Linked DNA regions of Danio rerio. The protein of the gene in region 2 purifies or fractionates together with the protein of the main gene of each other region. This does not show direct contact. Links are inferred from orthologs where the notes say so. Each region holds a gene or a part of one and is shown on either strand. Other genes may lie near its edges.

Region 1 (4,646 bases), on a different chromosome or scaffold from region 2:
CTACAGAACAAACCATCGTTATACAATAACTTGCCAAATTACCCTAACCTAGTTACCATTAACCTAGTTAAGCCTTTAAATGTCTCTTTAAGCTGTATAGAAGTGTCTTGAAAAAAATCTAGTCAAATAATATATACTGTCATGTCAAATCATAACAAAGATAAAATAAATCAGTTATTAGTAAAGAGTTATTAAAACTATTATGATTAGAAATTTGTTGAAAAAATCTTCTCAACAGAAATTGGGGGAAAAATAAACGGGGTCTAATAATTCAGAGGGGCTAATAATTCTGACTTACATATATAATGAATTCTGATATATATATATATATATATATATATATATATATATATATATATATATATATATATGTACATATATATATTCACATATATATATATATGTGTGTGTGTGTGTGTGTGTGTGCGTGCGTGCGTGCGTGCGTGCGTGCGTGCGTGCGTGCGTGCGTGGTGCGTGCGTGCGTGTGTGTGTGTACATACTTTATATAGGCTAATTTCTTATAATTAAAAATATATATATTTATACCAAATAGTGTAGATGACACTACACCTTACTTATCAGCAAAACAATAATTTAATTTATATTTGTATAAAATGATTAGGTATATATAAATATTCGATGGTATGTGTTTGATTAAAGGTTTAATATTTGGTTTATTCTACAAAAGGTTTGTGATTAGCATGTTTAAATTTTCAAATAAAAATATTAAAATTTAGACCAATGGTGTCTTAATTTTTTCCATAGCTGTTAAATGTAGTTTAATTATCTGTGTTTGTGTGTGCGTGTGTGTTTGTTTGAGAGAGAAAATTTTGAAATTGAATACACCTTCATTTAATAAAAAATTAAACTACAACATGTTTCATTGATTTAAACAAATTTCTAAATCACACAATATTTTCATCAAAAACCATACATTATTTTCAGCCCAACACAACATTTTTTACACTCCACATGTCTTCAAACTTGTTCAACTCTTTCATTGACAAATAAAAATTAAAATCATGTCTAATTCTTGCTCTAATAAGCCTTTTAAAAATAAGTTCAACTTTATAAATGGTCTCACACAAAATCTTGTTCCTCCTATACTAATGTATATTGCCATTTTTGCTAGTCTTAATATAAGAATAGAGAGAAAAAGAGAGAGAAATAGAGATCTTATTATCATCATTAGATTATTAGATCATTATTTTTTATTATCATCTTTATTATTATTATTATTATTATTATTATTATTATTATTATTATTATTTTACTACTACTACTACTGTTTACTGTGTTTAGTGTGTTTTTAAACTATTTATTATGTATGTTCTTTTAATGTAAACTTTAGTGCTTTGACAATACATTTGTAGGCGGTTCATTCCACTGTGGCGACCCCTGATTAATGAAGTACAAAGCCGAAAAGAAAATGAATGAATATATTTGTAACATGTCATGCCAATAAAGCAGTTTTTGAATTGAACTGAATTGAGAGAGTTTTACAATGACTGTATATTTTTATTATAACCTATGAAATTACTTATATGATGGGGAAAACTTTCACTGTGTGTGTGCGTGAGCTATATTCTACGTGCACGCGCGCGCTGACGCTCACTCGCTTACACAGTAATAACAGTTGTATCATCATCAGCGGGCCTTCACAAATCACACATCAACTCAACAACCATGTAAGTAAAATTAAAATTGCACTAGCTCAGCGATGTGATATGAACATGTGATGATATATGTTTTGCTTTTGTTTTTTTTTTAATACCTAAATATTGATGTGCTGGGAAAGTTTGTGTTGTGTTCTAATGGGTGTGAATACGGCCAAAGCAACAGGTTAGCTTTTAGCTTAGCTTTAGCTTCAGTTTGTTGACAATTTGTTTACTTTAATTTACTTTCGGTCTTGTTTTCGGTTGCTTTTATTTGGGATAGTTGATTATGACACCGTAAGTGAAGTTTAATGTCCGTTTGAGTGTTTAAAAGAGATTTGTGTTTATGTTCGCATTAGCGCTAACTTACATGCTAACTGCTTACAGTTTGTTTTGACTGATAAAAGTTTGTGGAAACTTTAGACATTAAGCATACACAAACCACAGACATATCACCATTATAATAACATATTTGTTTTGTTTTAAGTGTACAATTATTTTAATTTTGAGTGAGTTAAAAGGATGTAGTTTGTATTTGGCAAAGCTGCGGCAAATTAATCAACAAACAAGTTATAACTTACAAGCTTCACAAATGATTGTTCTTCAATCAGTTTTGTTAATCCAGTGGTGGGCAAACTTTTTAGACCAGAGGGCCACTTCACGTTTTGCAAACCAAGTAAAGGGCCACATGCCAAATCCTTCAAAACATATCTTTTATTTATAGTGGCAGTATGCTTAGAACATGTAATATCGGACAGAAACATGTCAGATTAACACAAAACAGATTTTTAAAATAATTATTATCGAGTCAAATTGACAAGTAAAATGAATTTGCTCTGCTATTTATATTTATCAATTATCATAAAACAATAAAATAATCTCTAATAGAATGTAATACTGATAATGATGTAATAATTTTGCAGCGAAGAATAGAAAAGATATTGTCTGATAGACAAAATCCCATATTAACACATTAAAAATAATTCTTAAAGTTTGCTATTTAGTCAAATTTACAATAATCTAATTTGCACTTCTTTTAGAAAATACAGATCAATCATCTTAAAACTTGATAAAACCACAAATCTTTGACAAAAGAACTTTTTAAAGTGGATGTATGGATGGAAAATATACTCTGTGTAAAAAAATTAACACATTTAACCAGCAACCATTATATATTTTGAGTCAAATTCACAACAATCTCATTTGAGCTTGTATTAATATGCTCATATCAATCATTATAAAACTATGAGATAAAACGGAAGAAGAATCTTAGGCCCCGTTTACACTAGTGCGTTTTAGTTTGAAAACGCATAAGTTTTGCTACGGTTACGCCATCCGTCCACACTACGCCGGAGTTCTCGAGCGCCGAAAACAGAGCTTTTTGAAAATGCTGGAGAGGCCGTTTTCATTCTAAAATGCTGCTGCTCCGTCTCAGTGTGGATGGGGAAAGACGGAGACATCTGAAAACGGAGGCGGGGCTGGAAACGTTTGCCTATCTGATTGGGGCTTTTCCTCAATATTAAGTAGCCCACACACAGTTCAGTCTCGCATCCTCTTCTTGTAAGTTCAGACTTCGCAAGTTTGATCAAGGCTGCAGTCTCCCCTTTCTCAGTTTGATATGGAAAACATACCGAGGACACGCGTAAATCTTCAAAGGGAACAGTGTACTTTATAACTTCATTCACATCACCTTGGCTACGTTGTTTCACTTTCTCAACAATAAAATATAAACATGATTTAAGGAACTGCCTATTTTCTTTTTAATATTAGCAACTTAACAGACAGCAGAAATGTTGAGGCGTTGTGTTGCATATATGAGCGTCATCTTCACTGTGTGGATATTTATAACAAAACGGAGCCTTATAACAACTGCCTCCTTTCAATTTCAGTGAAAATACGAAACGCACCCTCTCTTTTGCTGAATATCAGTTTTAATAATCGATAATTATAAAAGTATAACATACAATAAGTTTATACATTGTAGGAAATAAAGGCAAGCGATCAGTCAATGTACCTGGATTAATCATTAACTTATCTTTGCGCTTAACCAAAACATGTTACCCGTGAACAAGTAAGTTAATAGATTCCAATGACCAAAGTCAGGGAATTGGCCTATGTCGTTAGATAAAGACAACAACATGAATGAAATATCACGTTTAGCAAATATAGTGAGATTAGATCCAGCGGGAGATGCTTGATGAGCAGTCCGACAAGCAGAGCTCTCATCTGGGTAGAAATGCTGGAGCGCTTGCCCAAGTGTGTCTGTGTGGTCACGTGATGTGCGTTTTCAGCGTTTTGGTGTGGACGGAGAGCAGTTCAGAAACGCTGGGTAAAACGCTAGTGTGGATGCGGATCGTTTTCATTCTACAACGCCGTTTTAAAACTAAAACGCACTAGTGTAAACGGGGCCTTAGTCTTTGTTATTCCAAGTCATGTCATTATGAGTGTTAACGTGAACAATGAGCCTGAAAATAACGTTACATTAATATTAACTGCAACACTCTCGCAAAATACCCAGCTGATCCAGTCTTTGACTAGCAACATAAAAAAAGCGCAGTGTGCTCCTTTTTTCTTGTCAACAAAAAGGCAGTGCAGAGCATCCTTGTGTTTTTGGAATGTAAATGCGCGTTCAGTGTGATCGGCCTCTTAGGTTGTAGCCCTTAAAAACAGCAATATTTTTTTTGGCATATTAGACCTACAGCTTTCTGTCCCGTATTGGTGAAGAAGTATTTTGTTGTCCATTCTTTCATAAACACACGACATTCAAAGTAAAAATTTTTCCCTGACTCCTTTTCAGTCATAAAAGGTCGAGTGCATTGTAATATCCGAGAGTGTGTTCTAATTCTAGTTGCACTAACTGTACTGCATGCAATACTGCCATCAAATGGTATTCACTTGTATTGCATCATTAATTTACTAATTCTGAAATTAAACCGTTACTCAGAAGCAGCATTTTAAAAACTCCCTGGCGGGCGCATGAAAGTGTTCAGC
Region 2 (4,556 bases):
TTAAATAAATAATAAATAAAAAATACCGGTGGCACCATAATACACACAATGGTATCAGATTGTAGCTCATTCATTCATACATTTTCATTCATTTTTCTTCAGCTTAGTCACTTTATTAATCAGTGGTCACCACAGAGGAATGAACCACCAACTTATCCAGCATATGTTTTGGAACAGCTGTTGGCATTAGAGCTGCAACCCAGTACTGGGAACCCTCCATACACACTCATTCACACACATTCATTCATTTTCTTTTTGGCTTAGTCCCTTTATTAATCTGTGGTCGCCACAGCGACTGAATCACCAACTTTTCCAGCATATGTTTTACACAGCGGATGCATTTCCAGCTGCAACCCAGTACTGGGAAACATCCATACAATCTTACATTCACACACATACACTACAAACAATTTAGTTTATGAAATTCACCTAGCGCATGCCTTTGGACTTGTGGGGGAAACCGGAGTACCCGGAGGAAACCCACACGGCATGGAGAACATGTAAACTGCACACAGAAATGTCAACTGGCCCAGCAGGGACTCGAACCAGTGACCTTCTTGCTGTGAGGCAACAGAGCTAACCACTGAGCCACCATGTCGCCTGTTACATTTTTATGTTACTATACAATTATTGTACACATACGTAAAAGGCTACACACACATATATAAATGTTAGGAGGACTATATGTATGTGTGCTTTTACAATAGTTCAAAATATCTAAGATCTGAAAACATGGATTTTATTTTTTATTTACTGTGAATTTTCTGTGAATAATAATATTCTTATTTTATGTTAATTTTGGTGGCAAATCAAAAGGTAATCATTTTGAAGTCGGTGTATAATGATTCAGTTAAATTTAATTTTGAGGACGTAGGTTCAATATTTTAGTATGTTATAAATTCCTTTATTCATTTTCCTTCGACTTAGTCCCCTTATTTATTAGAGGTCACCACAGTGGAATGAACCACCAACTATACCAGCATATGTTTAACGCATAAACTATAAATTAGCTTTCAATTACGTAAACATTTACATATAGTAGATTTATTATAATAATAATGGTAAGCTACTTTACATAATATTGCCTGGATGATGAATAGACAGAATGCTGACTACCAACATATATTTAAAGCATTATCTAAATTAAACTAATATCTCGTAAGTATATTTTATATTTAGGCATTTTGCATATTAGTGGCAACGCTTTGTTCTTTTACTTCAACAAACCAAAACAACCCGTGCTGCTGTTTATCTGCCCAGGCGCGTGCGTGTGTCTAGACGCTCGAGGACCCGGATGTGATTCCGCCGGGCAATGGCGGCTGAGCGGATCCGGGCTCTGTCCCGCATGTAAACAACACGTAAAGCGCTCTCCTTTGTCCAAGTAAAGCTAAACCAGCCGCGGTCAGGAGCATGAGATTATCGCACCCCACTCATCGACTCATCTGAGCAGCAAAATGTCGATGGAAGATCCGTTTTTCGTGGTGAAAGGGTGAGTTTCAGGGCTTAGATCGGAGACTAGGGGCGAATATAAGATGTCGAATTAGACACTTTCAGGAATCAGATTGGAGTAACGTTAATTATTTTAAACTTTACGTACATTAGCTATTTGACTTGTCCTACGTTGATACTCGGCACCATTTAAAGCAGCTGTTTCGGTAAGATCGTTATCGTGTTGTCATGGCAACCATAATTATCGATTTTTTTCTCAAACGCTTCATAGCGTTAATCGATATTTGTGTCGTCTTCCCTTTAAAGTGGTATTGTTTTGGGTTGCCAGACATCTGCGTTTTGCTATAAGTTAGGATTTACAAATATGTAACGTTACCATGTTTGTCACTTTTTGGGGATACATATTATGGTATGCTTTTGGATAGTAACGTAATAGCATAGTTTTTTCCATGTCAGACATCCAAAAGCATTGCATTATCATAGTAAAACCTTTCAATTCAGTTCATCTTTTATTTCTATAGCGCTTTTACAATCTAGATTGTGTCAAAGCAGCTTCACATAGAAGATTATAGTAAATTGAAACAGTGTCAGCTTATTTTTGTGTTGAAGTTCAGTTTAGTTCAGTCCATTCAGTTCAGTGTGGTTTAATTTTTACTGCTGAGAGTTTAAACACTGAAAAGCAAATCCATCGATGCGCAGCTCCACTGCTCCCAAACCATGCAAGCCAGTGGCAAGGGAAAAAAACTTCACCAATTGGCGAAAGTGAAGAATTAAAAAAACTTGAGCGAAACCAGGCTCAGTTGAGCACGACCGTTTCTCCTGTGGCCAAACGTCTTGTGCAGAACTGCAGTCTAGGCGCTGTAATAAAGTGCGTGCATAATTATTGTTTAATTGTACCGATTTCACACTTCTTAAGTGTTGATTGTATGATATTGGAAAAATCTAACATTGCGATATTTAGTTATTCTGCGATATAATTATCTGATTCAGATGATTCTGCAGAAAAGTGCATCTGCAATAATTATAATAAACTATCCACAAGCATAGATCAAACAATAAAAAAAGATAAATAAACAGTGTTTTATCATTTTTACGTCTAACGTTAACTTACAAATGGTAAAATTTTTTATGCCTCTGGTTTTAAAATCCTACTGTCCAAAAAAACATGAAAATGATAGATTATACTACAGACTCAACATTGCACAACCTGCGATGTGACTATTGCGAATGACTACATTGCGATATTGATGCTGAAACGATATATTGTGCAGCCCTAGTATTGATATTGTGTATAATCATTAATAAGTTACGTGTAATTTTTTAACAAGCACTGGGGGTGTAAGATAATTATATTTAGATGTGCATATTTATGAAGCAGGTTTATTTTGACATGTCAAAACGAAGGGACCAAAAGGAGGTGTAACATTGGGGAGGAAAAAAAAAAAAAAAAATATATATATATATATATATATATATATATATATATATATATATATATATATATATATATATATATATATGTATGTATGTATGTATGTATGTATATATATATATATATATATATATATATATATATATATATATATATATATATATATATATATATATATATATATATTTTCCCAATGTTACACCTCCTTTTTGGGCCCTTCGTTTTGTATATATATTAAACGACCAAAAGAAGATCACAGCATTAATAAACCTGTAAAATTAAGGTATTACTATTGAACGACAAATACTAACTAGGGCAGGAGGAAGACAGATACATAAGCTGTCCTTAAAAGAAATCAGTATTGTATAACACTTCAGCTATTGGTTTTTATAAAGTGGGGATTTATATTATTGGGGGTTATCTATTGTAGTTTCTCATCAAATATTCTGACCAATCAAATACTCTCTAGTGTCTGACATACCCACCCCCCTCAAGATGCTTTTCATTTGCTTTATCCATTGATGCATCTTTTTTGAGATCAACCACTCTCACTGGCAGAGCTGTGATTAAAAACGAAACACTCTTGGATGTTTTTTATAAAGGAGAGGGGCTACTCTATGTCCCACCCTGTCTTCATGAATTTTATTTCAGATTACAACGAAGAAATCAAATTCAAAATGCTAATTTTAAAGCACTTCACAGCACCTTTAATTTATCACATTTTTTATAGGATCGCATCCATTATTTTTGACTTTTTAGTGAGAGTTGCATCTTTTTTATGGGCTATTTTCCTGCTTAATGATTATACACATCAGACAGTCTATTAATTTTCAATTTAATAATAATTATTCTAAATAATAATACTAATAACACTTATTAATAATAAATTACAAGTAAAATATTTTAGTATTTGGCTAAGAACGATGTATTTGAGAACTGGTCAAATTCTCTTTGGAAAAAAACAATTATGATCATATGTTTATAATTTTCATAATTATCTGCACACTCTGTAGTATTCTTGTCTACATTGTAGTAGGTCAATTAACCTTGAGGCTTAATTGAATGTATTTGTCTTAGAGAGGTGCAGAAGGCTGTAAACACAGCTCAAGGTCTTCATCAGAGATGGATAGAGCTGCTACAGGACGCGGGTGGAGCCAGCAAGGAGGAAGTGGACTGGACCACCAACGAATTACGAAACAGTTTGAGGTCCATTGAATGGGACTTGGAGGACTTGGATGAGACTATCAATATCCTTTTAGCTTAGTCGTCATTGTTTGGTCTTGATGCTGTTTATATGTTGGTTGTAGCCTTAACCTTGTGTTTAAGTATTGTGGAGGCCAATCCGAAGAAGTTCAATCTCGACGCAATGGAACTGGCCAAGAGGAAAGCCTTCATCACTAGCACACGGCAGACAGTCAGGGTGAGCTGATCTGACCGACTGAAAGCACATTTACAACTAATGTTTTAGCATCCACAGTAAAGCCTCATGTTTTAAGTCAAAATAAAGAACAGGTTATATTTTTATTATGACGTCTAAGCCTATGATAAAAACTAAAATGTACTTTTCATTTAAAAATCTTGGTATGGATTTGGATTTTAAATTTGAATGGACATAAAGGTCAACGGTCAAACCCAAAATAAATGTTTCTGTGTCTATGAAAGCCTGTAGATTCAT
Region 3 (3,036 bases), on a different chromosome or scaffold from region 2:
GCTGTGTTCACACTAGTGCATTTTAGTTTTAACACAATGTTCTCAATTTAAATGTTCCATATTGACAATTCCCCTGCATTTCGTAAAGTATATACATGTCAGAAGCTATAAAAGCTATAGAATTACTAAAGTGTAGCCTATATACAAATATTAGATCAAATAAAAATTGTTATTTGTTATTAAAAAAATACTAATGTTGACAGAAAGAAGTTGCAATTAAGTTAGTCAAAAGTAAGTAAGTCAAATCCTATGATAGTTAACCCTATTCATAACAGAAATGGATCTGTTATAAACATATTGTAGCAATCTAAGGTTACACTGTGAATTTTTGTTTGGAAACCAGATAAAACATCATTATTTGTCAGCATGGTGTGACTAGCAGTGAATGTACCAATGGCCGTTTAAATTGAGCATATGAAAAAGGCTTGACGAGTCAGGAAAGGATATGCAATAACACAGACGACCAATCAGAAAGCAAATATGGGCAGCCAGGCTCTTTTTTTTCTCTTCAATGTCTGTTTTGGTTCATTTACACTAGGGGTGCCAAAACTCAGACCTGGAGGGCCGGTATCCTGCGTAGTTTAGCTCCAACTTACTTTAACACACCTGCCTGGCAGGTTCTAGTATAGCTGAAAAGAGCTTGACCTTTTTAGTTGTGATGGGATCTCTAGCCTTTCCAAAGTAGTATAATATTGATAATTGTAATAAAAATTTGTGCGTTTTAAAGTGCTAATGTAAACGTAGCTTAAAAATAGCCAAAAAAAAAAAACAGACAAATGTTTTCTATGGGTTCACTTCCTCTCTCTTTCTCTCTGTCTCTTCTCTTGCTCCACTATCAGTTGGTTAACACTGGAGAGAACCTGAGCCGGAGCAGGAAGATCCTGCGCGCAATGTCCAGACGGTAAGCCTTGCACTCTTATGAAACACATTTTGCATCACTAGAGTTGTTTCCAAATCCTTTTTCTGAGAATTCACTGTATGAATTCTTTCCTGTCATTTCAGGATCGTGACGAACAAACTGCTCCTCTCCATCATCATCATCATGGAGGTGGCCATCTTAGGGGGTGTGGTGTACTTGAAGTTCTTTCGCAAGTAGGCAGTGAGATACACAAGACTCTCTCCCTTTTCTTCTTCCTGATTTTCATGAGTTTCTGACCTGGCAACAATGTGCTGGATGCTTTCGTGACTGTTAGTGTCACATGGACTTGTATGAGAGGTTATTTTTAGTGCTAAACTTTATAAGCATAAGCACCGCTCTCAGGGTGAGATGAAGACATTCACCATTGTACATTGACTTCTGGAGGACTTGTGTTAACAGGAGAAATTGTGTTACTTCACCCTCAGCGGTTTAAAAAAGATGCCAAGGTGATCTGGTGGATGGTTGAATGGTGTAAATGAAGCATCCAGTGGAATGAGTGGAAAAAGAACATATACAGTATATTATATACATCTCTTTTACAGTGCTCAATCACTTTAGAGGATAGTTCACTCCAAAATGATGTAATTCTGTAGTAATTTATTGACTTTTTGTGTCAATCCAAGACATGTTTTCTATACTGTGAAACTTTTGGATGGCACTGAACTTCATTGCACTGCTAAAAACATTCTTCTGACTATTTTCTATTGTAATATATTGACCAAAATAGATTGAAGAAAGTCTTAAATCTTTGGAGTTGCGTGTATGTAAAATATTTTGGAGTGAATCATCCCTTTAAAACTGAACTTTTAAGTAAATTGTGTGTTAAATTAGTTTTGTTTTTGAGGTGGCATTAAAGGTATCATCTCTTTGTTTTTGTTCTTGAAATGGGTGTTTGTTTTCCTTTTGTTTTTCCACCAATCAGCCAAACAGAGCTGAGTTTACCTCAGGCCAAGAGATTGACAGCTATAAACAAGCTAGTCATTTTATTTGTGAGCCCTGATTGGTGGAGAAAAGGGGTGTGTTTGGCCTGTCAGATAAGGGGGACAGATGTTACTGTAAACATGACTGATATTAAAGTGACACAAACACCTGTTATATATTAAAGACTAGCATCGAGGGCCGTCAAGCCACTTTGACATACTGACGTTTTGCCTGCTGACTGATGATGTTTATTTCTAGTTCTCTTAAGAGCAAAACAGCAGACATTTGAGTAGAGTTATTTCACAGTGGTATGTTTGGGATTTGATTTGAGGTGTGAGCAGGTGATCGACCTGTTTTTTAATTTTAATCCATAATCACATTCCACAGTCATAGGTAGGTGATATGATACATTGTTTGGATTACAAATTGGGCAAAACGGATGATTTAACGGATGACTCTTTCAAATCAATCAAAAACATAAACAAAATAATGACAATTTAAATGACATTAGACCGTTTATTTATTAAACTTTATACTGAAATGAATGGCATTGTCATTAATACTAATGCTGAGAGATATGAACAATAAAACAGTAAACTTAGGTGTGCAGTGTCAGGTCGTACACCCTTTAAATAAATTCTTCTAAGGGTGTAGCATTACAATCATTCATTACAATTCAATTCAATGTATTTGCGTAGTGATTTTCACAATAACTTTTGTTCCAAAGGAGTTTTCAAAAGGTGCACGTTATTATGTTCAACAAAAAAATGCAGGAAAACGTTAAGGTGTTGTGTATTCAGCTACAGTATACCCTCACCGGCCACTTTAGTAGATACACCTTACTAGTACCGGGTTGGACCCCCTTTTGCCTTCAGATCTTCCTTAATGCTTTGTGGTATAGCTTTAATAAGGTACTGGAAATATTCCTCAGAGATTTTGGTCCATATTGACATGATAGCATCATGCAGTTGCTCAGATTTATCAGCTGCACATCCTTGATGTTCCACCACATCCCAAAGGTGCTTTATTGGATTGAGATCCATCAAGTAATCATCAGAAGATGGATACACTGTGCTCATAAAGGGATGGACATGGTCAGCAGCAATATTCAGGTAGGCTGAGGCATTGTACTAATCGGCCTAAAGTGTGCCAAGAATATATCCTCTGCACCATTACACCACCACCACCACAAGCCT
Region 4 (4,803 bases), on a different chromosome or scaffold from region 2:
GAGTGCCTGCCAGTGTTTGCTCCAGCCCTAGATCATACGCCAATGTCAGCTCCAGCCCCAGAGTGCACAAAAGTGTCAGCTCCAGCCCCAGAGCTCGCACCAGGGACTACTCCTGCCCCAGAGCGCAGTTCAGTCCCTGCTCTGACCAGGCTCCTTGTCCTGGTCAGTCCCATCCTGGTTTGTTCCTCCCTGGATGGTCCTTCAGGTTCACACTGGCCCCCTGCCGGGGTCCCTGACCCGCTGAACTTTCCCTGGACTGTCCCTCTGGTACTACCGTGGACTGTCCCTCCTGACCTGGCCCGAATTAAGAATTCAGAGGCCCCTGGGCACAATGTCTTGTAGGACCCCTACCAGGCCACTATAGTTTAATTTAAAATAAGATTATTGTAATATTTTTTAAATAAAATGAATCTGTAATGTATTGCCCGCATGTTATAAATAAATGATATAGTACATAATTTTCTAGTTTACAAAGATTTAACTTATTTTTAAAGCATTTTAAGCATAAAGTTGTAGAAGAACAAGTTCATCAGATGCTGGATTCGAACTGGTTTCATGATGATCAATCACGTCAAAACATGTTGCCAAGCGTTTTACTTAGCAGCTTACTTACTTAGCAGTTAGCAGCCTTTACTTTTGTTGTCAGTGTTATATCTTCTGCAAGAAATCATATAACCATATTACTAAAACAATCAGTGACGATACTAAAGACATAATAATAATTCTCTATATTGTAATAATGAATAGAATAGAAAAAAAAACATATTATAACAATTAAACTAGTTATAAATCTTTTCAGGCGACGCAGTGGTGCAGTAGGTAGTGCTGTCGCCTCACAGCAAGAAGGTCCCTGGTTCGAGCCTCGGCTGGGTCAGTTGGCATTTCTGTGTGGAGTTTGCATGTTCTTCCTGCTTTCGTGTGGGTTTCCTCCGGGTGCTCCGGTTTCCCCCACAAATTCAAAGACATGCAGTTCAGTTTAATTGGGTAGGCTAAATCGTCCGTAGTGTATGAGTGTGTGTGTGAATGAGTGTGTATGGATGTTTCCCAGAGATGGACTGCAGCTGGAAGCAAGTGGTGTTCGCTGCAGAGGCATTTGAGGAGAGCTGAGCTCCAGCGAGGGGGAGCTTAAGCTTGAGCTCCACCTTTTTTGCACTTCTTCTACGAGTGATGTCACTGGGGGTAGGGTTAGGGGTGGGGTTGGTGTACGCATTAAAACAGCTTACAGGAGGAGGAGCGACAGCTCATGCTCCCCCTCGCTGGAGCTCAGCTCTCCTCAAATGGCTCTGCAGTGAGCACCCTCTCGCTGGAAGGGCATCCGCTGTGTAAAACAAATGCTGGAGAGGTTGGCAGTTCATTCCGCTGTGGCGACTCCAGATTAATAAACGAACTGAGCCGAAAAGAAAATGAATGAATGAATGAATTATTTTAATCAGAAATTCTAACATATACTGTACTTTTACCATTCAAGAGCTTATATTATAAAATTGTATTTAGTTGTAGCACCGTTGTTTAAACAGGTCACTGATTTTGTTTGTCACAAAAACAACAGGTATCAATATGTTACAATCCTTAATACAGAAAATCATTGCTAATGTTAATCATTGCTAATGTCAAAAAAAACTGCAAACAATATTTAACAGACTTTGGTTTGTTGGCAAACATGAACAATGACTTATCACTCTCTTCCAGGTATAGGTTACATCACACTACCTCGAAAGATGATGTTGTAGTATTTTATCAAAAGATGATGATGTTAGTGGTGATGACGGTAATGATGATGATGCGTCTGCAGGAAACACAATTAGTCCAGCTGTTCTAGCTTCCGCTCCAGAGCCGAACGAGAGACAGCATTCAGGACTCGTCCCAGCATCCCATCACACACAGATCAGCAGGATTACAAACACACCGACGCGGTTTCTCCAGACACTAATCGACAAAAGCAGGATCTCTGAGGTACACCAGCCGGAGTAACAGCTCTCGAGGCCTGCATGGATGTGTTTGTGTAGCGGTCAGTGATGACAGAGGTGTTAGCCGTCATGCTAGCTGTCATGCCATCTGTTTTCAATTCAGTGTTTCCATTCCTCCACTAACGTTAATCGACATGCAAACACGATTATTCAATTTCACGCTTTTTCGTTTTTCCATAAAACCACGTCTTATCGTTTGCTTCGATCTCCGATTAGCATAGTGTTTACATGGTTGACTAGCATAAAGCTCTGTGTAGCAGATGCATGCCAGGAAGATTAAGTTAGCCCTGTTTTAAATTTATTTAGATATTAGCGGTAATGTACTGATTTGTTATTGCTCTAAAATGAGTATGTTTAGGAGTTGTCTGTTTCTTAATGCAAATTGTGAGCATTCTGAAAGCCAAATAGGCATTGAATCCAGATCTACACTGTACTGTTTTGACAAATGAATGAACCGTTTTGTTCCAGTCTCGTATTGTTCACTGAATGTTGAATCTATCCGTTTCAGTTTAGTTCTTCTCTTTATTCTACTCAGTGATTTTGTGATTGTCATTAGTTTAGACTGAGTTATTATTTAAACAGAAAATCAAGGCTATCTAATTTCCTGAATTATGTAAGCCCCATCATGTTTGAGGGATCTCAGTGTTTCTTTTAGCTGTTCGCTGACCTGTGCTTTTCATATAAATCATTTAGTGGCAGCGATGAAGAAAATGCTGGAATGATGCCTAACCTGTTGGTTTTGTTTATGAGCTGTTCCGTGACAACATGAAGCATGTGGAGGTTTTAATCAGTGGGGTCACTTGTTATGTCTGTAAACAGTTTGCTGTCAGCATGCTCATTGTGGATCTGGTGGTTTGTATTGACAACAGCAGGGACAGATTTCTGCTTTCAGTTTCCCTTGTTAACATTTCCAGTCCACACGATTGTCCATTCCATTGATGCATTTGCGACCCTGGATGAGAAAACCAGTATTATGTTGTTAAAGTAAATTTTTTTTTTGTCTGGTTCAGAGTTAAAAATATTTATTTCATAAACTCATGTTCCATGACAATATTTTGTATATGTCCTATATCAAAAGTAATAATGTGCATCGAAGAACTTAATTTGAGCAGTTTTAAAGTTTTCCATTATTATTTTAACTCTTCAGATTCCAGATATTCACACATACCTTTGCAAATATTGCTCTATTCTAGCAAACTATATATCAATGGAAAAGCCTATTTACATAACTTACAGATGATGTATACATTTCAGTTTTAAAAATGACACGTATAACTGGTTTTGTAGTCCAGAGTCCCATCTATTCATCAGTCAATCAGTCCATCCATCCATTCATCCGTCCGTCCATCCATCCATCCATCCATCCATCCATCCATCCATCCATCCATCCATCCATCCGTCAGTCAGTTCATCCATTCATCAATTAATCCGTTAATCCATCCATCCATCCATCCACTTGACTATTGCACATAGTTTTTTATTAAATTATTATAGTATTATAATTAATAAACAGATTTTAAAAGATTTAAATCACAAAATGAAAGTCATTTAGACCTATTTTTGTCATTCCAATTTACGGTCTCAATGAAAAAAAAAAAGTCAATTTGATTTAAGTAACCAAACAGTCTATGATTGTATCTTTATTGCAGTGCTTTAATGGTTTCTGGTGTTGTGTTACTGTATGTGTTGAGCAGTGATTCTTTTAAACTAAACTGATGCTATTAAGGCTGCACAAAATATAGTTTCTGCATTGATATTGCAATGTGCGCTTCCGCAATAGTCACAATGTTGAATCATACTTGACCACGAGCCACAGAACACATGTGATTTGTTGTCTCTCATGAGTTAAACCATAACAAAGTTTATTGATTACATGTGTTTTAAGGCCTGTAACTGTGTAATTCAGGAGAGTTTGAAATATTTCAGCACAAAAACAGGATGTTTGGAGGTGTAACAGATTAGTTGTATTTAAATATTAATACGATTTATGTAACATTTGACTTGGACTTTTTGTCTTGTTTCTAGTTCTAGTAGTAAGTTAGGCATTGGACGATATCTGTTTTCAAGGTATACCGTGGTTTAGAAAAGTCAAAGTTTTAAAACCATCACAATTTTTTGCAATATTGTTCTTAAGGTATGAGTAAAATTTTTCATTTATGTTTTTATTTATTTATTTATTTTTTTATTTTTTTTAGGAGAGCAGTATCTCCAGCAGAACAAATATCCAAAGATGCTGTTTTAAATTGTAAAAAAAAAAAAAAAAAAATCTGTTTTTAAAACAAATGAAGACAGCAGAAGTCAGTAATTTATTTAGTCTGACATGTTTACTGTTTTAAGATATTTTAAATGTTTCTCAAAATAAAATATATTGTGTTTAAAGAGGAAAAACTTTCCTTTTTTATACCTAGACATTAAAAAATATACATTTTAGACCAGTAATCACAATACCGTGATACCATGAAACCATGATATTTTTATCCAAGGTTATCATACTGTCAAAATCTTATATTGGCCCATGCCTTAGTCATTCATTCATTCATTTTCTTGTCGGCTTAGTCCCTTTATTAATCCGGGGTCGCCACAGCGGAATGAACTGCCAACTTATCCAGCAAGTTTTTACGCAGCGGATACCTTTCCAGCCGCAACCCATCTCTGGGAAACATCCACATACACTCATACACTACGGACAATTTAGCCTAACCAATTCACCTGTACCACATGTCTTTGGACTGTGGGGGAAACCGGGTGCACCCGGAGGAAACCCACGCGAAGGCAGGGAGAACATGCAAACTCCACACAGAAATGCCAACTGAGCCGAGGTTTGAACCAGCGACCC
Region 5 (4,094 bases), on a different chromosome or scaffold from region 2:
ACTACGTTCCTCAAAAATGGTATTTGGAATAGTTACGCGTTACTGTGGAACGCCTTACACCCAACTCTGTCCAAACCACAATCTTGCCTACATACAGCTCTGTATAAAGAAATTAAAAGACCAACTGAAAATTCTCTGGATTTAATAGATATGTCTACCAGGGCTGAAAAGGTTCTTTGTCGATGCATGCAATAGGAATGGGACATGGGATAACCTTGGATAAAAATATCACAGTTTCACGGTATAACAGTATTATGATTACTGTTCTAAAACATATTCTTTTTAAATGTCGGGATAGAAAAACATGTTTTTTCCCTTTTGAACACAACATAATTTATTTTGAGAAACCTTTATAATATTTTGGAGCAGTAAACATGTCGGGCTGAATAACTCAAACGAGTCACTGACTTTTCTGTCTTATTTTGTTTCAAAAACACATTTTTCTTTACCATTTAAATTGTCATTTTTGGATATCTTTTCTGCTGGAGATACTGTTGTCCTAAAAAACAAAACGAATCTTACACATACCTTAGGAATGGTATAGCTGAAAATTTTGGCGGTTTTAAAACCTTGACTTTTCCAAACCGCGGTAAACCCTGAATACGGTTATCGTCCCATGCCTAGTATGCAACATAATACGCTGTAAATGAATGTCCAGATTAGATAAACATATTTTTTATAACTTTTGCATAAATTTATAAAAAGATGCCATGTTTCTATTTATTTTAAACATGCCATATTAGTGCTTTAGCTTCAGAAGAGCCATGAAAGCAAAATTCCGTGGAATAACCATCAAATTCAGTCTCAACAATTTAGAACAAATGTTCATTTTGTTGAAAAATTTTTCTGAATGACAATGTTTTTATTTGAAATTCATAGGAAATGGCAAATGAAGCTTATAAAAACAAAAAATAGTTAACATTTTACTCAAACCCATGCCTAATAAATGCAGAGAAGCATCATTTTCAAGGCATCTCTTAAGTTTTCGTCTCAGTTGTTGTAATCTGTTACATCTACATTTAGGACAAGCTGTATAGTATTATTTTTTATATAATAAATATATAATATTTTTATATAATAATAAGTATTTATTTTTTATTTAGTTTATATTTATATTTTTTTTGCGTTTCATTAGAGCAACTGAGGCGAGTTGATCAAGGAATGGATCAGATCAATCAGGACATGAGGCAGGCTGAGAAGAACCTCACAGATCTATCCAAATGCTGTGGTCTGTGTGTGTGCCCGTGTGAAAGGTTCGATACTCAGGAAACAAGATATTCATTATATTCAGTTATAATTGAATCCTCAAAACTATTTTAATTAGATGTCTAGGCTGGGGTAAAGAAGAGTATTAAAAATCTTTTACAGAGTGACCTCCATTGAGCATGATGGGAGATATAAGCGGACTTGGGGCACCGGGAGCGACAACTCCAGCACAGAGGGAAAAGAGGGTGGTGTTGTATCCAGCCAACCGACTGCTGTTCGTAATGGACAGGCTGTTTCGGGTGGATCATCGGGTGCCTCTGGCCCCTACATCAAGAGGTGAGGAAAAAATACACTGAGAAGGATGGACATTGATAAATGTGATATCATATTTGTTGTTATAGCAGTATAATGCGATGAATCCTGTTACAATTAATTCAGAATGACCCTATAATTAATAGTTATGAAAGTATAAACATTAATTTGCAGATATGTTTGTGTCATTGTGTTTGTTTGCTTGTTTGCTTGATTGTTTTATTTATCTGTATGATATAATATAGACGTAAAAAATTAATTGTAGTTAGTTAGAACGGATTCAGTGCTCAACTAATTCCACAATATAAATCTCAATGTTAACAAAACATGCATTTCCTTTAAAAATTCAATTGGATTGAGTCAGTCATGCAGGATTCCAGATAGGACATGCAAGATCTTTACTATCAGGAGGAAATTTAACATTGTGATTGATGTCTAAATCCACTTTTTTTTGGCTGTAATCCTTCTGTTTATACATTGGAAATACATTTTTAACCACACAAATTCAAGTTTAGTTCGAATTAGTTTAGGAAAAGACTCAGAGAAACCAACCGTCTTGTATTAATTCTGGAGAAAAAAAATTTATAATGCTAATATATTGATATAATGCAGTTGAGTAATGTCACAAAGGCAAGAGTTCTGCAGTATCAGCATGTGAGAGAAGCCATTAAAAGCCAGTATACAGCAGCCATGTGTTGGGCTTATGTCCTTCTCCTGGCTTCAGTCCTGCTACTGTTAATACTTTTTATGGAGCTGTGCCATAATTTGAATAAGTTTCCATCTTGTTGCAAGTCAGCGCATCAGTGTAGATTTACTGTTGAAATGTTGTTAAACATTATTTTACTGCATTTGACAAGAAATTAACTTCTACTTTTTTAAACTTTGTATTAACAAATTCACATTTAATCCAGCGTGTAAAGTCACTGAACATATATATATATATATATATATATATTTATATATACACACACACACACACACACACACACACACACACACACACACAAAGTCAGAATTATAGAATTATCAGACCCCCCCCCTTTTAAATGTTTCCCAAATAATGTTTAACAGAGCAAAATTTTTACAGTATGTCTAATAATATCTAATCTTATTTGTTTTATTTCAGCTTGAATAAAAGGAGTTTTTAATTATTTAAAAACCATTTAAAGATCAAAACTATTAGCCCTTTTAAACTATATATTTTTTCGATAGTCTACAGAACAAGCCATCATTATACAATAACTAATTACCCTAACTAATTAGCCTAATTACCCTAACCTGTCTAGTTAACTTAATTAACCTAGTTAAGCCTTTAACTGTCACTTTAACCTTAAATTGTTAAATTATAAAATAGCATTAAGAATGTAATCCGGAATCTACTCCAGTTTTGCAGATTAAGGATTTCATGCCAAAGATGATCAGTAGAAGGACAAAATTACAGTAAAAAAAAAAAAAAAAAAAACCAGAATAAGTATAAATCTTGCATCACTTTATTTCCTAGTGTATAATGTTACCTAAAAATAAACACTTGTTGTACTTGTTGGTCAGGTGGTGACTTCCTGTCTAAGCAGGCAGTTCAAGACCTATAATAAACTACAATATGTCTCTGTTTGGTGGCATTTAACTACTATTAGGACTCATTGTTTTTACCCTGCCACATCAAAATCTGCAGCTGGACTCCACATGTACAGTTTGTTAGTGCTTATTTTTGGACTGTTACAGCGGATTTTTAATTCCTCATTAATTATTAAGATGAGTCACCTTAAAGGGTTAGTTCACCCAAAAATATAAATTCTGTTATTTATTACACATCCTCATCTAATAGAAAATCAGCAGTTCAAGTGGGAATGGGAAGATCATTCCACCAACATGAAACGTTGATTAAAAATGTTTTGGAAAGTGACTTGGGTCTTTTTTGTGATGGTGCTCATTTTCTAAAAACCATTATCAAACATTCCATGTTCAACTTCAGTAGTTCAACTGTAATCATAGTATAAATTTGCAGTTGGTGTGAATCATAAGCTCTCGCGGGTCAGATAAATTGATATGGCAGAGTAGGCTGGAATTTGATATTTCATTAATTTGCATATAAAGCACAAATAAACACAACAATAGTTGACCACTGTGCTGTAGAACGAGGCAAGAAGGATATCAAATAGATAAAAATATACTTATAAATACAAAACCCTGCAGACAAAAAAAATTATAAAAGTAGAGTTAAAAGTAAGCCCGCACAGAATCTGTGTGCACAGTAATCCGCAGATTTTAAGCCCATCATCTTTTTCATCTAAGCCCACCAGTCTTTTTATTTACTTGTAATTCTGTGTAAACTTATATTAATTCAGTTTTTTTTTATTAATTTCTGTTATATGATTGACTAATATGAAAATGTTCATATGATTTATTTACTATGCAGTTTGTAAAGTCATATTTTCTGTCTTTTAGTAGATATATATTATAATAGACACTTGCTTTGTTTACCAAATAAGTGGATCTAATTGGATTCACATTGTAAAGTTTCATATATTAAGTTTTTAGTTACGATATTCCCAAAATTTTTCCTTACAAATCCTCAG
Region 6 (4,094 bases), on a different chromosome or scaffold from region 2:
AACTATTATTATTAATTCAACAGTACACGCTGGGCATTTATTTGTGGCTTATTTTGCCACATTGACTTCCACTATAACTACATTTTTTATTGCAAAGCCATGACATATAATCCATACAATCAAGCATTCTTGGTTGTTGCTGGTTTCCCCTGTTGGGAAAAGGTCAAATTAGTAAATTTGTACTGTTGATGGCATCATGGCATTTCCTAGGCCCAATACTTGTGTTAGATGGGCGCATCACGGCCAAGAACTAACCATTCAGGGGGACTATGTGCACCCAATGATTCAAACATTGTATCCTGAAGGCGATGCCGTTTGTCAAGATGGTAATGCAAAAATACACACAGCAGGATTGGTGATAGAGTGGTTTGATGAACATGAAAGGCAAGTCGAACATCTCCCATGGCCTGCACAGTCACCAGATTTAAATATTATTGAGTCACTTTGGGGTTTTTTGGAGGAGCGAGTTAGGAAATATTTTCTCCAATAGCATAAAGTAGTGACCAGGTCGCTATTCTGCGAAAAGAATGGCTCAAATCCCCTCCAACCACTGTGCAGGACTTGTATCAGTCATTGCCAAAACAAATTGATGCTGTATTGATTCTACGCAGACGAGCGGGCGCTGCCATTTGAATCTTTTTGGCACGAGACTTCCGGTCTCATTCACTTCCATTCATTTTTAGACATTAAAAATTGCTCGTTTCGCTGTTTGATGTTGCAAACTGATATTTCCTTGTTATATTATTCTACTTGGTCTGTATAGTCATGCAAACATTTGTTTGTAGAGCAAGTAGTTTGACCGTTTTTTGCCGTTTATTATTCCTAGTCATTTCTCCCATAGGTGACTGAAACGGAAGTTCTAAGACAATCGCGAAAACAGGCGCACTTCCGCATTTTAGAATAAGGCTGCAAAAGGAGGCCCTTCACAATACTAATGAATTATTGTGGTCTTAAACCAGGAGTTTTAATGTCATTGTCCAACCCCTGTATATATAAAGAAATGAATGTCATATAAATGTCCATGGTGAACATACCTGGTAATATGCAGCATGCTGGAGCTGTTCGGCCCCTCGTTCCACATGCACCTCTGCACTCTCTACATTGGCTTCAATGCTATCTGTGTATCATGACATGACAAAACCAGGGTTCAACAAAACAAAATAACTGTGTGGAAATTTAAATGCCTTTTAAAACAGTTTAGAAATAACTAGACTAACCTACCTATCATGTCACCCTGGTCGTGGATCATAACAGCAAGGTCCTTGAAGATTTGATTCACATCCATAATGTCTGACTAAATCAAGACCAGAAAGCAAATAGCACATAATACTTTAAAATCGGACAACTCCCATAAACACAATAGTCTTAATAATTATGTAAGAAATTAGTAAACTAAAAAAAGTGTTTGAATGCATATGAATCTTCAGGACATTACTTATTCTTATTGTTGTTGTTTAGTGATGTTGGATTTTTGTATGTAAGGTGTGCTCACCTCCAGCTGACGGATATTGGTCTCTCTTTCTTTAATAAGCTCAAGGTCCTCTTCTGTGACAGGCTCCTCTTCTGTCTGCATTCTCCAGCCTTCATTCCTTTTCAAATAAAAATAGCTATGAATATTTCAGCTTTCAGATCTTTTACTATTGTATTAATGCATTTAAAAAATAGATACACATTAAAGGTTCCGTGAAGTGCTTTGAATTGTGCATTTTTCTGAAACATGAAGACTGGGCGGGACATATAGTAGCTCCTTATTAAAAAAAAAAAATAGCCAATAGCGTTTAGTTCTATCACAGCTCTGCCAGTGAGAGTGGTTGAGATCAAGCGCATCAAATCAAAAGCAAATGAGAAGCATCTTGAAGGGAGGCAGGGCATGTAGAGAGCATTTGATTGGTTAAAAGATTTGATGAGGAACTGAAGTATGAGGTAAGGTTAAAAAAAGTTGTTCCAAGTGACAAACTGCAAGCTTTGGATGTTTGTATCTACTACATGCAAACTGTATCACTGTTTTTGAGCACACTAGCTTATAGATAGCATTACCACTAACATACTTATACTAACACCTTTTTTTTTCATTGAATGGGACCTTTAAATCAACTTATTATACATACTGTATCCTGTGTTTTGGATGTCTATTTTGATCAAAATAAAGGCTCATGAGGGTGTTGGATGCCTGGGTTCAGTTTAGGGTCAAATAATGTATGAAGGCTAATTAGAGTTAACATTAAGGGCCCTATCATACACCCGGCGCAGTGTGGCGCAAGACGCGGCGCAGTAGTCTGTTGGTAGTTTTCAGCTTGGCGCAAGAGTCGTTTTGAGGCGTTGCGCTGCGCTGTTTAAATAGCAAATGCATTAGCGCTCATTTTTGCGTCCATATGCGTTCTGGTCTAAAAAGGAAGGCGTTCTGAGGCGGACCGCTGGCGCGTTGCTATTTGAGAAACTATAATAGATTTTTCATTAGACCAAAACTAACCTGTTCTAAACTCCGGTGCAGAGTTGCGCCTCGCTTACGCACTGCTTAATACGCACAAGAGAGCAATAGGCAAATATCTTTACATATGAAAAAATTTAAATATTAAGGATATATATAGTATATAATAAGAATAGATTTAAAATATAAATATAAAGGATTAAAATATTACAAAACATATTATTTTCTAGCCTACATAAATATTCTTTATCTCGGGAGGCTTTTTCAGTTCATTCATAACAATTTGCTTTTGTATAATGTTATTATTATTAGCAGTATTATTTATTATATCCATATTTATATTTGTTTTATTAAAAACAAGCTTAGATTTGCCCACCTGTCAGGTTTTAGACCATATGGGGCACAGCATGTGTTTGAGGATATAACTCAGGTTTTTGAGCACATTTTGCTATTATTATTCATTTATTCGTTTGCTGGAAATTAGAACTGAATTTAGAAATAGTTTTGAAACGAATATTTGCGCTTAACAAACAAAATTATTTATTTATAGACTAATTGATGTCTGTGCGTAAAGGTTTCCCTATCCAAGAGCGACAGTGAAAGTGATCTATTATCTCTCATTCTCATGCAGTAGATGCTCTGTTTAACAGTTTTCGGTTAAAAAACTGTTAACTGTTTACTAGTGAAGTGCTCATTTTTTCCACTTATACTTACTTTGCGTCCTGTAAATAGCAAATGCGCTCTTGGCGCGATGCAGCGGACTCTTAAAGGGAATTGGAGATGAGACTCTAATTGGTTTATTCTCAAAACACACCTATAACTCATTAAGAAAATAAACTCAACCCTTTTAGAACATGCGCAAGGCAGATTTCCCGTCCTTAAATTAGCAAAAACGCGTCCTGACACGCCCTGAAAGCGTTTGCGCCCTGCGTTTTGCGCTCTGCGCATGGACCGTCGAAATAGAGCCCTAAAGGTGGAATATGTAAGTTTGACATCCAGTGGTTCAATTAGGGATTGCACTCCTGGTTCAAAACACATTTTCACTCTGCCCCTGCTCTGATGACCACACGCAAGCGCAGTTTGTGATTTGATGACATCAATAGGAGCGAGTCTGACTACCCTAAAGGCTGATTTAAATCTTGTTTTAAATAAAAGCAACGGCACGTGATAGAAAGAATATTTGCCATATTAAAATGAGTTTTTGTCCTAACAAACCCCTGACAGTTCTATTTTAGAAACAACTTCTACTGTATTTCTCACAGGTGAACAACAGAAAACTGTTAATAATCACCTAAGGTACAAATCATGTGCTTTATTCAGTGTTAAATGCTAACAATGTGAGTTTGAATGCCATTTTACATGCCATTTATTGCTATTCTACTGAAAGCAGCAGCAGATAGTTTACCTCAGATCTTGAAAATAAAATAAACCGTTTGAGATTGAACTTTAGAACTGTGATTCAGTTCAAGTCAACCCATATCAGTGATTCAGCATGTACATTTAATAATGTTACAGAAGTTAAATATTTAGTAATTAGATTGTATACCTAACCAAAATATTGGAGTGCAGTAAGTGCACTATTCTGTGCTTCTGAATGGCTGTATTTTAATTTCCGTTTGTGTTGCGTGTGGTGCAAACAGCCAAATTGGTTATCACAGCAAATCTC
Region 7 (4,790 bases), on a different chromosome or scaffold from region 2:
TTATTGTAAATTTTGCAAGTGTTTTTTGAGGCCTGTCACTGTGTAAAAGTTTTAAAAGCATTCAGGCATAAGAAAATATACTGTTTTTAACTTTAAAAAATGAATAACGATTAATTTTATGGAATTGTTAATAAAATGAAGACTATGCAGTTTTATTTTACATTTGATTATTTAATTACTGTATACTTGAATACACTTTGACTCTTCGGAAAACAACAAAACTGTAAATTTAATTGGCATATCTTTAATTTATCTATGCTTGCAGATTGTTTATTATACAAATATTGTGCTCAATAATATAAATATTATGCTTATTATATAAGACTTATTGTGCTCAAACTTATTATATTATATTTTATGCACTCCCTGATAGAATCTTCCCTATTTAAAATGATAGATTCTTTACAAATATTAATTCAACTCATCTTATGAAATTGTATTTATATCATATATATTGCAGAATAAAACAAATTGCAATGTGTAATATTTCCATCCCTTATTCTCACTGTTCCTGTTCATTAAGGGGAAAAAGTGATCTAAATATTTCAATTTTGTTTATCCATTCACTGTACATTTTTTTTTTTTGTAGGCTTCCCTCTGCCATGGCTACTAATCTGTCAGTACCCTTGGCTTTCGTGGCCCTTCTGCACTTGGCTAATGAGAAAGTGAGTACTTTAAAATAGTTCAACGCTTACTATAGACGAAGATCTAATAAATATTCAGTGTTGATTTACTGTTAGCATGCTGTCTTGTTTAAACTTGTTTTTGTAACCTGCATGTAGAAACCTATTGTTTGTGTATTTAATTGCTGTGAATCTAAAAGTGGTTCTTTCCATCAACAGAACTTGGAGCTGCACAAAATTGATGGCATGACTGATATCATCATTAAACAAGGCCACTGAAAATCTGACACAAATCTTTTATGCACAAATTGTCATTTGTATCAAAATGTAAATCCGCTTTCTTTTGTTCTCCATGGCATGTAAAAATACAAATGTCGGGACAAAACAGTATAGCCAAGAGGAGGAGGAGGAGGAGGAGGATGATGACGGTGGTGTCAGGATTATGATAATGTTGTACAGGGAAATACCAAACCACAGACTTTTTTATTGATATATATATATATATACACACACACAAGTGAAAGTGAAAGATGTCAGAAGCATTCACCAAGAGGAAAAAACTCAACATGGTGCAGTTTGAATAATGTTTGCTTTTAAAATCAAGCGTTTTGATAACTTTAGCAGCTTCAGTAAAAAGTAAAAATATTAATGTGCTGTTTTCAGTGTCACTGTTTTTTTATTGCATTATTTAAATTGTAAAACATAATTTCTTAACTTTGAGGTTTCTTTTAGATGTGTATTGTACATACCATTTTCAAAAATAAAACGTGTTGTCACATTTATGCTTGGTTTTGTGTCTAGTATGATTTTTTTTTAAATAGAATAATGCTTTAAATGCATGCAATGCCAAAGGCGTTTAGGTGGAGTTGTTGAAGACGTATTGTGTTTCATGCATAGGAATTGAACTATTTTAACTTTGTTTTTAAGCAGTTTTCATCATGCTTGAAATTATAAACTTCTATAAATACCACTGAGTTTAATCACACATCAGTACTTTTAGAAAACTCACTCTAATCCGGTTTTACAAGACGCTTCTCATACCTGCCGGGAAGACGTCTAGATGGCATGATTATAGTATTTGCACTCACCTTACAGGTGTGTTTGTGAGATGAACCCGGCGCCATCTTGAGGATGCTATGGGAAGTGTCGCATCAGAGGTGGGCCAAAGCCAAGTCATTCGCTGCTGGAGGAAGAGTGAATTAGAGACCAGGAAGTGTTGACACGGCGTACATCTATCGGTTACACTAGAAAACAGTTGCAAACATTTTAATTCTAAAGGATAACGTGTATTTTTTATATTGTGGAGTAAATAAAAAGAAGCTGGTGAAACTATGGGTGTAACTGATCCAAACAGTACGGTAAGTCACTAATTTTAACAACAGTCAGCAGGTGCTTTTTGTTGCATCGTTTTTAAGTTTATAGTTAACAAAACTGTGCGAACTTAATTTCTCTTGATATCTGTGCGAATGTTACTTTTAGTGGTGCAAACATTAGAACAAGTCAGTGTGTGTGCGTGTCTTGTTTTTCACCGGTTGGTGTTAGTTTGACGCACTCCAAACAGGGCGAAGCTTGTTTTTCAAGTTTTACTTAAGTTTCTACGTTCCTGTTGTCAGCAAATGTAGATAATTTGCTTGGTTATCTTATACAAATGTAATGTTTAAATAACACATTTATACTTGAGATTAGTACCGTTTATATTGGAATTTTCTTGTACTGATTTGTTTACTCAGATGGATTGAATTTACCTTGAGCTTCGAAGCATAACCGGTTTGCATGATACTGTTGAGCTCCACTCTTACTGAATGGGCCCTCAGTTTAGAAATATATTCACAATAACTTCAGCTTGCAAATGTGCTGATAACATAACACATCTCTTTGACTGTTAAACTGAACCAGAAGTGTTAGGTCCTCCTGCTCGTTTGCTTCAGATCAGGTTGGTCAACTGTCAACACTTGGTTTTAAAATCATTTCACAAGTTCCACTCACAGTGTAGAGACTAACGTTACTTCGATGTATGTGGCATTGTGGTTAAGATAAAGTTTGTCTGTAGTGTTTTAAATAAATAATATATTCAATTTGTCATTTGAATGCTGGTCCTTGAAGGAAGCAAGCATGTCGTTGTTTAATACAAATATTAAAGAAACTCAAGTTTAAGAAATGGAAAATTACTTACCCTTGTTGCAAACCTGTTTGATTTTTCTTTCTTACATAAAACACACAGATATGTATTTTGAAAAAAGCTGGAAACCTGTAACCATTGACTTGCATAGTATTTGTTTTTCCTTCTATTGAATTCAGTGGTTACATGTTTTTGGCTTTCTTTCAACAGAAGACACTCAAAGGTTTGGAACTAATTGAGGGTGACTAAATAGTGAGTAAATGTTCTTTTTTGGGTGAACTTTTCATTGAAGATGATTGTTTATCCCATTATATATCTTTGATACATTTAAGTTTTAATTAAAAAAAACAGTTTCAACAAAACATACTTGCGGTTCACATAATACCAAATTATATTCTTTTTAATTATCATGTTGTTTCTGTCACATTATAAAGTGGATCGCACACATCACACTATTTTGCCACAATATTGGTACCTCGAACTGCCAGTATCAGATGTTACCTAATAGCTTTCTGCCATCCTGTAGGTCTTGTGACACCAACACACACACACACACAAAGAGAGAGCCATTGAGTATAATAGAAGGGCAGGACAGGTAGTGACGCAACAATGCTTTTGGTTTCCTGGTAACTCCTTTTGTTTATGAGGTATCTGCCGAACAGGAGAGCTTAAATGTGTTTAAAATGGCTGAACGTGTAAAAAGCACAGAGAGTTTACTCTTAAGACACAAATTGCACAATTAACGGCTAAAGATTGCTTCCATGAGACTTGTTCTATGTTTAAGTGTAGCAGTATTTTATTGGTGCTTTAATGTGTGAATGTGGTTAGGCTTTCTTGTTTGGTTTTGCGAGTATCACACATAAGGTGCCACATCTACACTACAGGCGAATTATACTGTATGATGTCTTGGAGTTGTTTTTATTTGGATTAAATATTCTGTCAAATGCAATTGAGTCACACAAATTCAGTTTGTTGTATTTGAATTATATTTCAGAATGTTAAAATTGGCATTCATCCAATCCTATTAATGCAATGTCATAAAATACTTTTCATTTCTCTAAAATACTTCAAATTTACAATACTTTAAGTAAAGCAGTAAATACTTTTGAAGAAGAATGTTGATGTTATTGCATGCCTTTTACATGTGTAAATATATCGCAGTGTTGCACACATACTGTACACATCATGTTGGATATATTGGATCTTTCCATGCTCAACATCTAAAAACCAAATGATCAAATAAATTATTATCAAATTAATTATTAAACCAAATTCAAATTGTGTGCTGCACATTTAAGATTATACAGTATATTAAAAATAAATACATTTGTAAAGTAGTTGATATAATTCTCTAGTAAACCAATGTAGTACTAAGCTCCGATATCTCTTGACCAATAATGGACAATGTTGAACATTAATGTTTGTACTTAAAAATGCACTCTATGTAATACCGTTGACCTTCGTACACTTTCTAATCTAATGTCTATCTTCTTTCATTTATTAATTTTCTTGTCAGCTTAGTCCCTTTATTAATCTGGGGTCGCCACAGCGGAATGAACCGCCAACTTATCCAGCACATTTTTACACAGTGGATGCCCTTCCAGCCACAACCCATCTCTGGGAAAAATGTCTATCTTATCCTTTTTAAATAAAACTTCCTAGCTCTGACTTTCTTCTTCAAATACACTTTTATTTGTTCTAATACTGTCTATAGAGGTTGATCTACTTCTAGCACTAACAATCTGTTTTCTGTACTTTTTTCTTTTCTAAATAATTTGGCCTTCTGGCATAACGCAGTTTTCTTTTTCTCTCTCTCTCTCTCTCTCTCTCTGTCAATTCAAATCAATTAAATTCAATAATTGTGTTATTTGCATGACAATTGTAAGAAATGTATTGCCAAAGCATTCATAAACTTTACTTTAAAAAGAACATGCTTGTAACAAATAAGGAATGGTTAACTATTTTGAAACACAGATGATCACAGGTAATTCAGATTCATGGAGAGAATTTATTTGGAAAAATGTAAACATGAAACATTTTATTTTAGG

The links.
Region 1: the proteins of stx6 (region 2) and vamp3 purify together in Homo sapiens (affinity purification with mass spectrometry; 5 studies listed by BioGRID and IntAct, counting the BioPlex papers as one, with this or other methods). This does not show direct contact. The link is inferred for Danio rerio from reciprocal best matches to the Homo sapiens genes STX6 and VAMP3.
Region 3: the proteins of stx6 (region 2) and vti1b purify together in Homo sapiens (affinity purification with mass spectrometry; 3 studies listed by BioGRID and IntAct, counting the BioPlex papers as one, with this or other methods). This does not show direct contact. The link is inferred for Danio rerio from reciprocal best matches to the Homo sapiens genes STX6 and VTI1B.
Region 4: the proteins of stx6 (region 2) and vamp4 purify together in Homo sapiens (co-immunoprecipitation; 5 studies listed by BioGRID and IntAct, counting the BioPlex papers as one, with this or other methods). This does not show direct contact. The link is inferred for Danio rerio from reciprocal best matches to the Homo sapiens genes STX6 and VAMP4.
Region 5: the proteins of stx6 (region 2) and snap23.1 purify together in Homo sapiens (affinity purification with mass spectrometry; 3 studies listed by BioGRID and IntAct, with this or other methods). This does not show direct contact. The link is inferred for Danio rerio from reciprocal best matches to the Homo sapiens genes STX6 and SNAP23.
Region 6: the proteins of stx6 (region 2) and stx12l purify together in Homo sapiens (affinity purification with mass spectrometry; 4 studies listed by BioGRID and IntAct, counting the BioPlex papers as one, with this or other methods). This does not show direct contact. The link is inferred for Danio rerio from reciprocal best matches to the Homo sapiens genes STX6 and STX12.
Region 7: the proteins of stx6 (region 2) and vamp8 purify together in Homo sapiens (affinity purification with mass spectrometry; 3 studies listed by BioGRID and IntAct, counting the BioPlex papers as one, with this or other methods). This does not show direct contact. The link is inferred for Danio rerio from reciprocal best matches to the Homo sapiens genes STX6 and VAMP8.

What each region holds. Positions count from the first base shown.
Region 1 is NC_133186.1:42,677,679-42,682,324, forward strand, and holds the start of vamp3 (vesicle-associated membrane protein 3), read left to right. Parts: upstream 1-1,562; 5' UTR 1,563-1,686; coding exon 1,687-1,688; intron 1,689-4,646. UniProt on the Homo sapiens protein: SNARE involved in vesicular transport from the late endosomes to the trans-Golgi network.
Region 2 is NC_133197.1:16,195,697-16,200,252, reverse strand, and holds the start of stx6 (syntaxin-6), read left to right. Parts: upstream 1-1,307; 5' UTR 1,308-1,454; coding exon 1,455-1,489; intron 1,490-3,958; coding exon 3,959-4,128; intron 4,129-4,206; coding exon 4,207-4,301; intron 4,302-4,556. UniProt on the Homo sapiens protein: SNARE promoting movement of transport vesicles to target membranes. Targets endosomes to the trans-Golgi network, and may therefore function in retrograde trafficking.
Region 3 is NC_133188.1:36,478,824-36,481,859, reverse strand, and holds the end of vti1b (vesicle transport through interaction with t-SNAREs homolog 1B), read left to right. Parts: intron 1-839; coding exon 840-901; intron 902-1,002; coding exon 1,003-1,096; 3' UTR 1,097-2,059; downstream 2,060-3,036. UniProt on the Homo sapiens protein: V-SNARE that mediates vesicle transport pathways through interactions with t-SNAREs on the target membrane. These interactions are proposed to mediate aspects of the specificity of vesicle trafficking and to promote fusion of the lipid bilayers.
Region 4 is NC_133195.1:16,221,818-16,226,620, forward strand, and holds the start of vamp4 (vesicle-associated membrane protein 4), read left to right. Parts: upstream 1-1,829; 5' UTR 1,830-1,953; intron 1,954-4,803. UniProt on the Homo sapiens protein: Involved in the pathway that functions to remove an inhibitor (probably synaptotagmin-4) of calcium-triggered exocytosis during the maturation of secretory granules.
Region 5 is NC_133192.1:35,127,639-35,131,732, forward strand, and holds part of snap23.1 (synaptosome associated protein 23.1), read left to right. Parts: intron 1-1,135; coding exon 1,136-1,253; intron 1,254-1,368; coding exon 1,369-1,542; intron 1,543-4,094. UniProt on the Homo sapiens protein: Essential component of the high affinity receptor for the general membrane fusion machinery and an important regulator of transport vesicle docking and fusion.
Region 6 is NC_133191.1:7,966,814-7,970,907, reverse strand, and holds part of stx12l (syntaxin-12), read right to left. Parts: intron 1,590-4,094; coding exon 1,493-1,589; intron 1,295-1,492; coding exon 1,222-1,294; intron 1,118-1,221; coding exon 1,035-1,117; intron 1-1,034. UniProt on the Homo sapiens protein: SNARE promoting fusion of transport vesicles with target membranes. Together with SNARE STX6, promotes movement of vesicles from endosomes to the cell membrane, and may therefore function in the endocytic recycling pathway.
Region 7 is NC_133180.1:28,877,703-28,882,492, forward strand, and holds the start of vamp8 (vesicle-associated membrane protein 8), read left to right. Parts: upstream 1-1,871; 5' UTR 1,872-1,954; coding exon 1,955-1,981; intron 1,982-4,790. UniProt on the Homo sapiens protein: SNAREs, soluble N-ethylmaleimide-sensitive factor-attachment protein receptors, are essential proteins for fusion of cellular membranes.